Linked DNA regions of Schizosaccharomyces pombe. The protein of the gene in region 2 interacts with the protein of the main gene of each other region in a pairwise test. Each region holds a gene or a part of one and is shown on either strand. Other genes may lie near its edges. The genes, in order: asn1 and hgh1.

The links.
Region 1: the proteins of hgh1 (region 2) and asn1 interact in a two-hybrid assay, tested with the Schizosaccharomyces pombe proteins (one large-scale study listed by BioGRID).

The regions. Positions count from the first base shown.
Region 1 is NC_003423.3:733,183-738,069, forward strand, and holds asn1 (asparagine synthetase), read left to right. Parts: upstream 1-1,844; 5' UTR 1,845-2,106; intron 2,107-2,214; exon of another isoform or gene 2,215-2,220; 5' UTR 2,221-2,233; coding exon 2,234-3,907; 3' UTR 3,908-4,113; downstream 4,114-4,887. Other genes in the region: orm1 (ORMDL family protein), read right to left, coding at 493-1,053; double-strand-specific ribonuclease Pac1, read right to left, coding at 4,522-4,887.
Region 2 is NC_003424.3:5,152,051-5,155,777, reverse strand, and holds hgh1 (protein hgh1), read right to left. Parts: upstream 1,915-3,727; 5' UTR 1,847-1,914; coding exon 1,829-1,846; intron 1,789-1,828; coding exon 836-1,788; intron 785-835; coding exon 685-784; 3' UTR 550-684; downstream 1-549. Other genes in the region: leucine--tRNA (Leu) ligase Lrs1, read right to left, coding at 3,499-3,727.

The DNA.
Region 1 (4,887 bases), on a different chromosome or scaffold from region 2:
AATATGTAAGATGATATTCGAGACGCGAATGAAGTTTTACAATAGAAAGGGAAAGCCTTTACAAATACCTGCAAAAAAGGTCGTACAGATTCCGTTGTTTTTTGGGAAAGCAAATCATGATGCGCAAATCCTATATAAAAGGAACAGTTTTTTTTAGGAGAAAATTTTGGCAATTGCCGCTATGGCATCCATTACTAGCAATGAAATAAAGCAGAAGGCGGGCGACCTTGATTCCAGTAAAGGCTAACGGGAAAAATAAAAGGGAAAAACGACGTCACAAATAAGTGAACAAAAAGTCATTAATGGTTGGGTTTCTAAAGTACCGGGAAATAAATGATTAGTTTCATCTTTGACAAAATTAGTAACAAAGCTGCAATAGACTGTTTATATTTTTGAGAGTGAAGGAGTTTCAAGCGGAATAAAACAGCCTGCTCAAAGACAAAGATAGACACCATGATTATAAGGTGATGAATTCAATATGGCACAGTGATCCTAACGAGGAATACTGTCATTATCATCATCACGGAGGGAAAGTTTTTGAATACCAAAAATTCTCTTCCGGTGAACGGCAGGCAGTTTAGGGATTAAAACCATAAACAGGGCCCAAATGTTGACCAAGAACATCCAACCGTTATAGTGGGTGTAATGAGTACTCATTAGGAATAGTATAATGGGTAGAACTAAAAGATATTTACGGGCTGGTGTGTATTGATTTCCTTCATCTAATTGCTCCCACATGGTAAGGCGATCATAGGCACCACCGTTGAACTCGAATGGAGTTCCAGTAACCCAATGAAACATGATGAATGAACCAGCCATATATGTAAGATTAGTGAGGGTCCATGCTAATTCGCGTGACACTGAAGGAATAGCATGGAAAATAAGACGAAGAGCTGCAATCAAGACAATGTGGATAACCCATGCGCCCTTATAGTTCACCCAATTAGAGTTATAATTCGTGGCTGAGCCTTGGTCTAAACGATCATCAATCGTGGGTTTAGGTACCTTAGTGACCAGGGAGGAAGACCTTCTTCTGCTACTACTGCTGCCCATTTTTATATGAAGATGAAGAAACAGAACGAGAAGGAAGAGGGAAAAACGGATGTGAGTAAAGAAATAAACAAGTTATAAAGAAATAAACAACTTTGACGGAAAAGCTTTAAAATCCACACAAAGTTAAAAGAATCGATTCAACTCGCCTGACCAATCTGCAATTCAATCTGTAAAACAATTAACCACCGACTACTTCGTATCTAGAAGAAGACGATATCACAAAGAACAAATAATATACTTGGTCAAACAAGAGAAGAGAAGTAGCTTAAGCTTGTGAAACTATCAAAGCCAGCTTCCAATTATGTTATAAAAGAAAAAGAAACAAAGAAAAGACGAAACTTCGGCTATTTTTTTTGAGAAAAAAAATTTCCAAATATTATAAAGACCAGTAATTCCTTTAAATATATAAAGACTTCAAACACCGTTTCTTGATAGGGTTTTTTGTTAATGTTTGCGTTTTATGGATATGTGTAGTAGCAGGAGGAATAGCATCACTGATGGATTCTAATAGAAATAGTTTGCTCATTTAGTGTAGTGAGTTAGCCGACTGTGGCGTAGTGATACGATTCCGAAACGATACTTTGTTGATACCTTATAACTTTATACTGAATGTTTATATCCACTGCTATCTAATCTTATCGCACATAGTTATCTTGTAAATCATAAATTGAATACCGTTTTGTATTATCTTATCGTAATCGATCTTTCGGCGGCAAACTATCGTAGTAATCACCGCGCTAATCACTGCTAGCAATAACCTATAAAAGTTCCCGGAATCTCTACATTTCACTTAACTTTTTCCAACATCGGCAGGGAGATTTTGACGGTATCTCCTAGAATTGGGCAGGAAACGATCGTAAAACATCGTTTATTAAAAAGAACGCAAAAAATTATATCCTATAGTTTTTGAACGAGCTAAATAGCTTCCGTTTTGGAGTTTACATTCTAAAACATCTAACACCTAATTCTGAACTGATTGTTGGCTCAGTGCTACTTTTTGACTATTACATTTCTTTTATAAAGATAATATTTATCTTTTACATATCTTAAAAGGTAACTATCATTCCAGCTGCGTTGATAAAAATTTTTTATTATCTTCCATTTTTTCCCTCTCCTTCTATTCTTTGTTTAGTAACCATAAATTTTAGATCTATTTGTCAATTTTTTTGAAACATTAACTATGTGTGGTATTCTTGCTGTTCATCACGTCGCCGAAGATATTGAGGCTTTCAAGCCCAAGGCTCTTCATTTGTCGAAACAACTTCGTCACCGTGGTCCTGACTGGTCTGGTAAGGCTATTCGCAACCAAACTATTCTTTGCCATGAGCGTCTTGCTATTGTCGGTGTTGAAAGTGGTGCTCAACCTCTTGTATCTGACGATGGTAAACTTGTCCTTACTGTCAACGGTGAAATCTATAACCATCTTAAGCTTCGCGAAAACTTAAAGGGTAACTATAAATTCAAGACTTACTCCGATTGTGAAGTCATTTTATATCTCTACCGCGAACATGGTCCTGCTTGCGCTAACATGTTGGACGGTATGTTTTCTTGGGTTTTATATGATCAAGACAAGGATAAGGTTGTTGCTGCTCGTGATCCCATTGGTATTACAACTTTATATCAGGGCTTCTCATCTGACAGTCCTGATACTGCCTATTTTGCTTCTGAATTGAAGGCATTGCATCCTGTTTGCGACAAAATCATTGCTTTCCCTCCCGGACATTATTACGACTCCGAAACCAAGCAAACTGTCCGCTATTTCAAGCCTAGCTGGTGGGACGAAAATAAAATTCCTTCCAACCCCGTTGACTACAAGCTTCTGCGCGAGACTTTGGAGGCTTCCGTTCGCAAGCGTTTAATGGCTGAAGTTCCTTATGGTGTTCTTCTATCTGGTGGTTTGGATTCCAGTTTGATTGCTTCTATTGCCGCTCGTGAAACTGAGAAGCTCGCTAACAGCACTTCGCAGTCCGAAGAGGCTCGTACCATTACCGCTTGGCCTAAGCTTCATTCTTTTGCAATTGGTTTACCTGGCTCTCCTGACTTGCTTGCGGCTCGTAAGGTTGCCGACTTTTTGCATACTTTCCATCATGAGCACACCTTCACTATCGATGAAGGTCTTGATGCTCTTCGTGACGTTATTTACCATCTTGAGACATATGATGTTACCACTATCCGTGCAAGTACCCCCATGTATCTACTATCTCGTAAAATCAAGGCTCAAGGTGTTAAAATGGTTTTGTCTGGTGAGGGATCTGACGAAATCTTTGGTGGTTATTTATATTTCGGTAATGCCCCCTCTCGTGAGGCCTTCCATTCCGAGTGTGTGCGTCGTGTTAAGAACTTGCACTTATCCGATTGCTTGCGTGCTAACAAGTCAACTATGGCTTGGGGTCTTGAGGCTCGTGTTCCTTTCTTGGATAAGGACTTTTTGGAAGTTGCTCTTAACATTGATCCTGAGGAGAAAATGTATATTAACGGTCGTAAAGAAAAATATATTCTTCGCAAGGCTTTTGACACAACTCATGATTCTTCATTACAACCATATCTCCCTCAAGATATTCTTTGGAGACAGAAGGAACAGTTCTCTGATGGCGTTGGTTATTCATGGATTGACGCTTTGAAGGACACTGCTGAGTTATGTATTTCAGATGATGAATTTGCTCTTCCAAGGAGGGAATGGGGTGACGATATTCCTACCACCAAAGAGGCATTCTGGTACCGCAAGCTTTTCGACGAAATCTTCCCTAGACAGTGTGCTGACACTGTTATGCGTTGGGTTCCCAAGGCTGAATGGGGTTGCCCCGAAGATCCATCTGGTCGTTACCAGGCTGGTCACGTTGCTGCTTTAAAATAAGCTGTGTAATTTAGCCCAGTAGGCGTTATCCGACGTTCGTTTATGTTCGTTAATGTAGGGATGTTATACTTTCCTTTTTTTTGTATTGTAAAAAAAACTCGTTTTCACCCTTTTCTCCTTTGTCTGATTCCTTTTATTTAGATTTTCGTTATTTAATATTTAACTATACCAAATCGAATCTGAACACTTCTTTTCGCATATATTAATCTTTTGAAATCTGCATATAATAGTTCGTATTCTGAGTGTTGTATAAGCTTGAAACACCTCTTAAACCGCAGTTTATAGTTTCTACAGTGTTTAAAAGCAGCATGATTATATCATGTAAAGTAGTGAACATTCCTTTTTTGAAACAAATAGCTGGATGGCTGTTTCCAGTTTTATCTAACTTAAATATCTAAAGAAATACGGAATAATCAGAGGAACAAAAACTTTATATTTTTTTTGAACTAAAAGAGAATATAAAATGCTAAAAAGACTTTAAATAATTCTTCATAAGGACCAAACAAAAGATAGATTGACTGTGACAGTAAGACCTTTTAACGATCGAAACCGTGACGAATTAATTCATCGTATAAAATGGGATTTAAATTTTTAGAAAAATAAAAAATGTGGGATTAACGGGCAAACTTAGAGTAATCTTTTGCAAGGACTTCGAGTGCTTGCATAGCTGCCCTAGAGCCCGCGTCTTTTTGATTTGCACCCCACGCACGGGCTACTTCTTTGCCATTAAATATGCAGGCAATAACATAACCCTCAGCGGAACCACCAGCACCATCGACCCAGCGATATTCGATGTGGCCCAAAGTGCTGTACTTGTGAAAAAGTTTTGATTTAGCCAGCTTATCGATAGGACGTTGAACAGTGATATTGGCAATCTTTGGTTGGAGAAGTCGGCTAACCCATTGAAAAGCTGTCTCTTCTTGTCCATCCAATATCAATGCACCGAGATATGCTTCGAAAGTGTCAGCAATGACCTTTTG
Region 2 (3,727 bases):
GGAAGAAGAATATATTAACCTAGTAAAATTGTGAATTCATTTTTATTTATTTTATTTTTTACAAATTTTTTTTATTTTTTATTTCATTCTGGATTTCATTGACCTTGTGATTTAATTTCTTTAGTTTTATTTAATTTAATTATTATAACTTTTTTTTTTTTTTTTTTTTGGATTTTTTTTGCTTCTTTCTTCTTTCATTAATTTATCCATTCATTATTTGTATTTAATTTCATTTTTACGGTTGCTTCCTTTTACATTTGCTTACATTTATTTTTACCTCTTTTTTTTATTCCATTGATACTTTCCTACTTGCTATTTCCTTTTCTTTGGTGTGCTCTGCTGTCTGCATAACCCATTTATTTACACTTTCTATTCTCTGTCAATACACTGTTTACTAATTTATACTCTAATCCTACCCATTGCAATAATTTAATTTTGCTCTTCTACATTTCGCAATACAATACTATAAACTCGGGATTTTAAAGGACTCTTGCTCTTCATAACGCACCTTTCTCTCAATTATAAAGTCCAAATATTTTATTGTGTGATTTCCATTTCACTTTCTACTCTTTCTTTCTCCAACCATTCAATGGAAAACAAAATCAAACACCTATGTATTTATCCCCAAGATGAGCTTTAGGCTCCCAAAATTATCTTTTTTAAAAAATATGTATTTTTCCCTTTTTAATCCACCTCAACGATAACATCATCCTCATCTGGTGGGTTATCTTGGATGTGCTCAAGTTCTTCAGGTGCCTCGTCACGCACCAACATTTGTACAAGCCTATTTTGAATTAGTAATAAATCCCTTCCCATTTTGTAAAAAAAAACTTACTGATCACAAACTTCGCGAATCTCTTCATCATCCACGTTCAAGTGCAATTCACGTATAATAGGGTACACCTTACGGCGTCTCATATGTTCTCTTCCCTCCCGTGTAGCAGTAAGCAGTACCAATGTTTCAACTAAAGTTTTCATAATAAAGTGATCCGGCTCTCGTTTCTTATCATCTGGTAGTAGTTGTAATTCGTCAAACATACCATCCATATCCTCTTCACTGAGTTCTTCAGGACCTGCCAAAGGAAGTAAAAGATATGGCAAAACATTAATACCTTCTTCATCCATCAAAACTTTCTGAAATGGGATGTCAAAAGATATGTTTTTAATGATGGCTGCGACACCGGTGCGACGCAATAAAGATTTGTGCTCCGTAAAAACAACCAATTTCGATGCTGGAATTACATGATCATACTCTTGAAGAGTCGTAAAGTATTTTCTTCCCCTTTCAAAACGTGTCATATCAGCAAATACGTTGGCCAAAAAATCAAAATTGGCATACTCATTGATTCCATGATCGGTTCCTTTCACAAAAAGATCCATCAACTGATCAATAATATTTTTACTCAACGAAAACTCTCTTAAAGGAACTTGCATATCTAAAATACGGGCAAAGTCTTCTTCCTTGGCCAAGTTACACAACAACATACAGCTCAAATCAGCCAATCCATGCAATGGGTTTGTCACAATGCTAAAAATGAGCTGCAGAAATTCATCATCCATCAACACTTTACGAACTTTCTCATTTTGTGAGACATTCACTAAAGCCGTAACAGCTTGACTTGCAATCTGAGGCTTGTCCTTCAATAGAGCCTTAAGGTCTTTCACCGGCTCAAAGTCATTGTGGAACCAAATACTAAATTGAGGATGATTCCTAGCGGTGTACGGAAGCAAATGCTGAACAGCTAACATCCGTACCTGCGGATTTTGATCATGTAAAAATCCTACAAGCTAATTATGTTAACTCATGCGCAACAAAAGTTACACTTACTTCTATAAGTTCTGACATTTATAAAAATATTTACTGATCGCTAGCGATAGCCTTTTCTCTTGTAATATTAAGAATTGTAGAGGTTTAATGCGAAGTTGTAAAATTTGCAAACTTCAGTGGTGACATACAAATTCCAAGTTAGTACAACTAAAAATCATATTAGGCAAATTGTCTGCAGAAGCTAATTTTATTTAAGCAAAATGCATTTAATTAATCTGTAGACACACATTTTCTAATACTTTCATATCTCTACGTTCAAAACTGTTTGTCAACAGGTTAAGGAAAACAATTATCTGCCAGGTGATTCATCGTATACGTATACCGAAAACTTGGAGTTCAATAAATAAAAAAAGGGTTAAATTAAATAAGATACTTAAGCAGCCGACCTGGATTATATTCTATTCTTTTCTTCAAAAACCATAGCTTGATTATTACGGCCAAGGTTCAGTTGCGAAATTGTAAGAAACTGATGATAAAGGAGAAATTTCTGAAAAATTTTGTGGAAACTCAATTTCCACTTTGGATTAATCGTTGGGAAAATCAAGACTTAAAAATGTTTTCCAACGATTTACATCTGTTATAGAGTCTGTGCGAAATTAATGAATTTTAGATTTGACTATACAGAACGGGATTGCATCCATCAAAGGTGAGATGACTACTATGAAGGGTGATATAACTGCCATGAAAGGTTCTATATCTCATTTAGATAGAAAAATCTTTTGGATCAAAGAACTGAAGAAAGATTTAATAATATGGCTCAAACGATCCAAAAAATTGATGATCGTTCTTGCAAGTCGATGATGCTAACAAGAAAATATGAAAACATGGTCTGTGCAGATATGAATTGTTCGGCTGTTCCAGTACCATTCCTTAACGGAGATGAACCTAGAGACTATGAACTCCCACCCTTGCAAGCCTTGAAGACATTGATAATTTGATAAAGGAACAGTGTATTCAATATCTTCATGGGTATGGTATTACTAAATTTAGTCCTCTTGAGACTGTCAAGTTGAAAGAACGACTTCAAGATGCAATTGGCTTCTGGTTAAAAGGGTCAGTCGCACACAAATTTCGTACGTTTTAGGGAAGTATTTTATATCTTTCGCTATTTTGTTTTCTCTTAGTAGGAATATTGGTTTTTCCTTCTCCTTATTATGATCTTTATATATCACTTTCTTGCTATTATAATCATTAACAGATCGCCTCTGTTAAAGCTTAGTATAATTTGTATACGCATTTAAACCAAAGGGACTATAAAAATGTCACCGCGCTTGACGATTCCGTTACGAGAGTATTGAATGGCAGGATAGTGGTCTAATTCTGCATTCAACAAGAGATTCGAAATATTTCAAAATTTTGCTTTACTAGAATTCGATGAAAATAATCAGGAAGCGATTGATAATTTTCGTCAAGCGAAGGAACATAAAATGAAATTGGAAAACAAATGTAATAAAAAATACTGTAACAATACGTTTTCACATTAAATGAATGATAAGACCGAATATTGCAAGAGAAATATATAGTCTGGTTAACGCTCTAAAAATCTATTATTTAAAAAAAATTGCAAACTATATAGCAGATGAAAATGATATTATTTTACATATTGCACAACGCATTCCTCCTGCTTTAAAGGATTTCTGTAACTATTTTTATGGTGCTTACAAAATGTTTTAAGCAGAGACATTTTCAAACAAAAATGTAGGCTGACCGGGTACGGTATTTGCAAAATTAGGTGCAATCTCTACAGTAGCACCGGCATCCGATCCACTTTCAACCAAACCAATAGCAGCTGAAGATTTATCTGCAGGTTTTTGAAGAAGGACAATGCGAAGCTCTTGAATACCAACGTTTCGAACAAGGTAAGGCTTAACCTCACGCAAAACTTCAAGCTCATTGAAT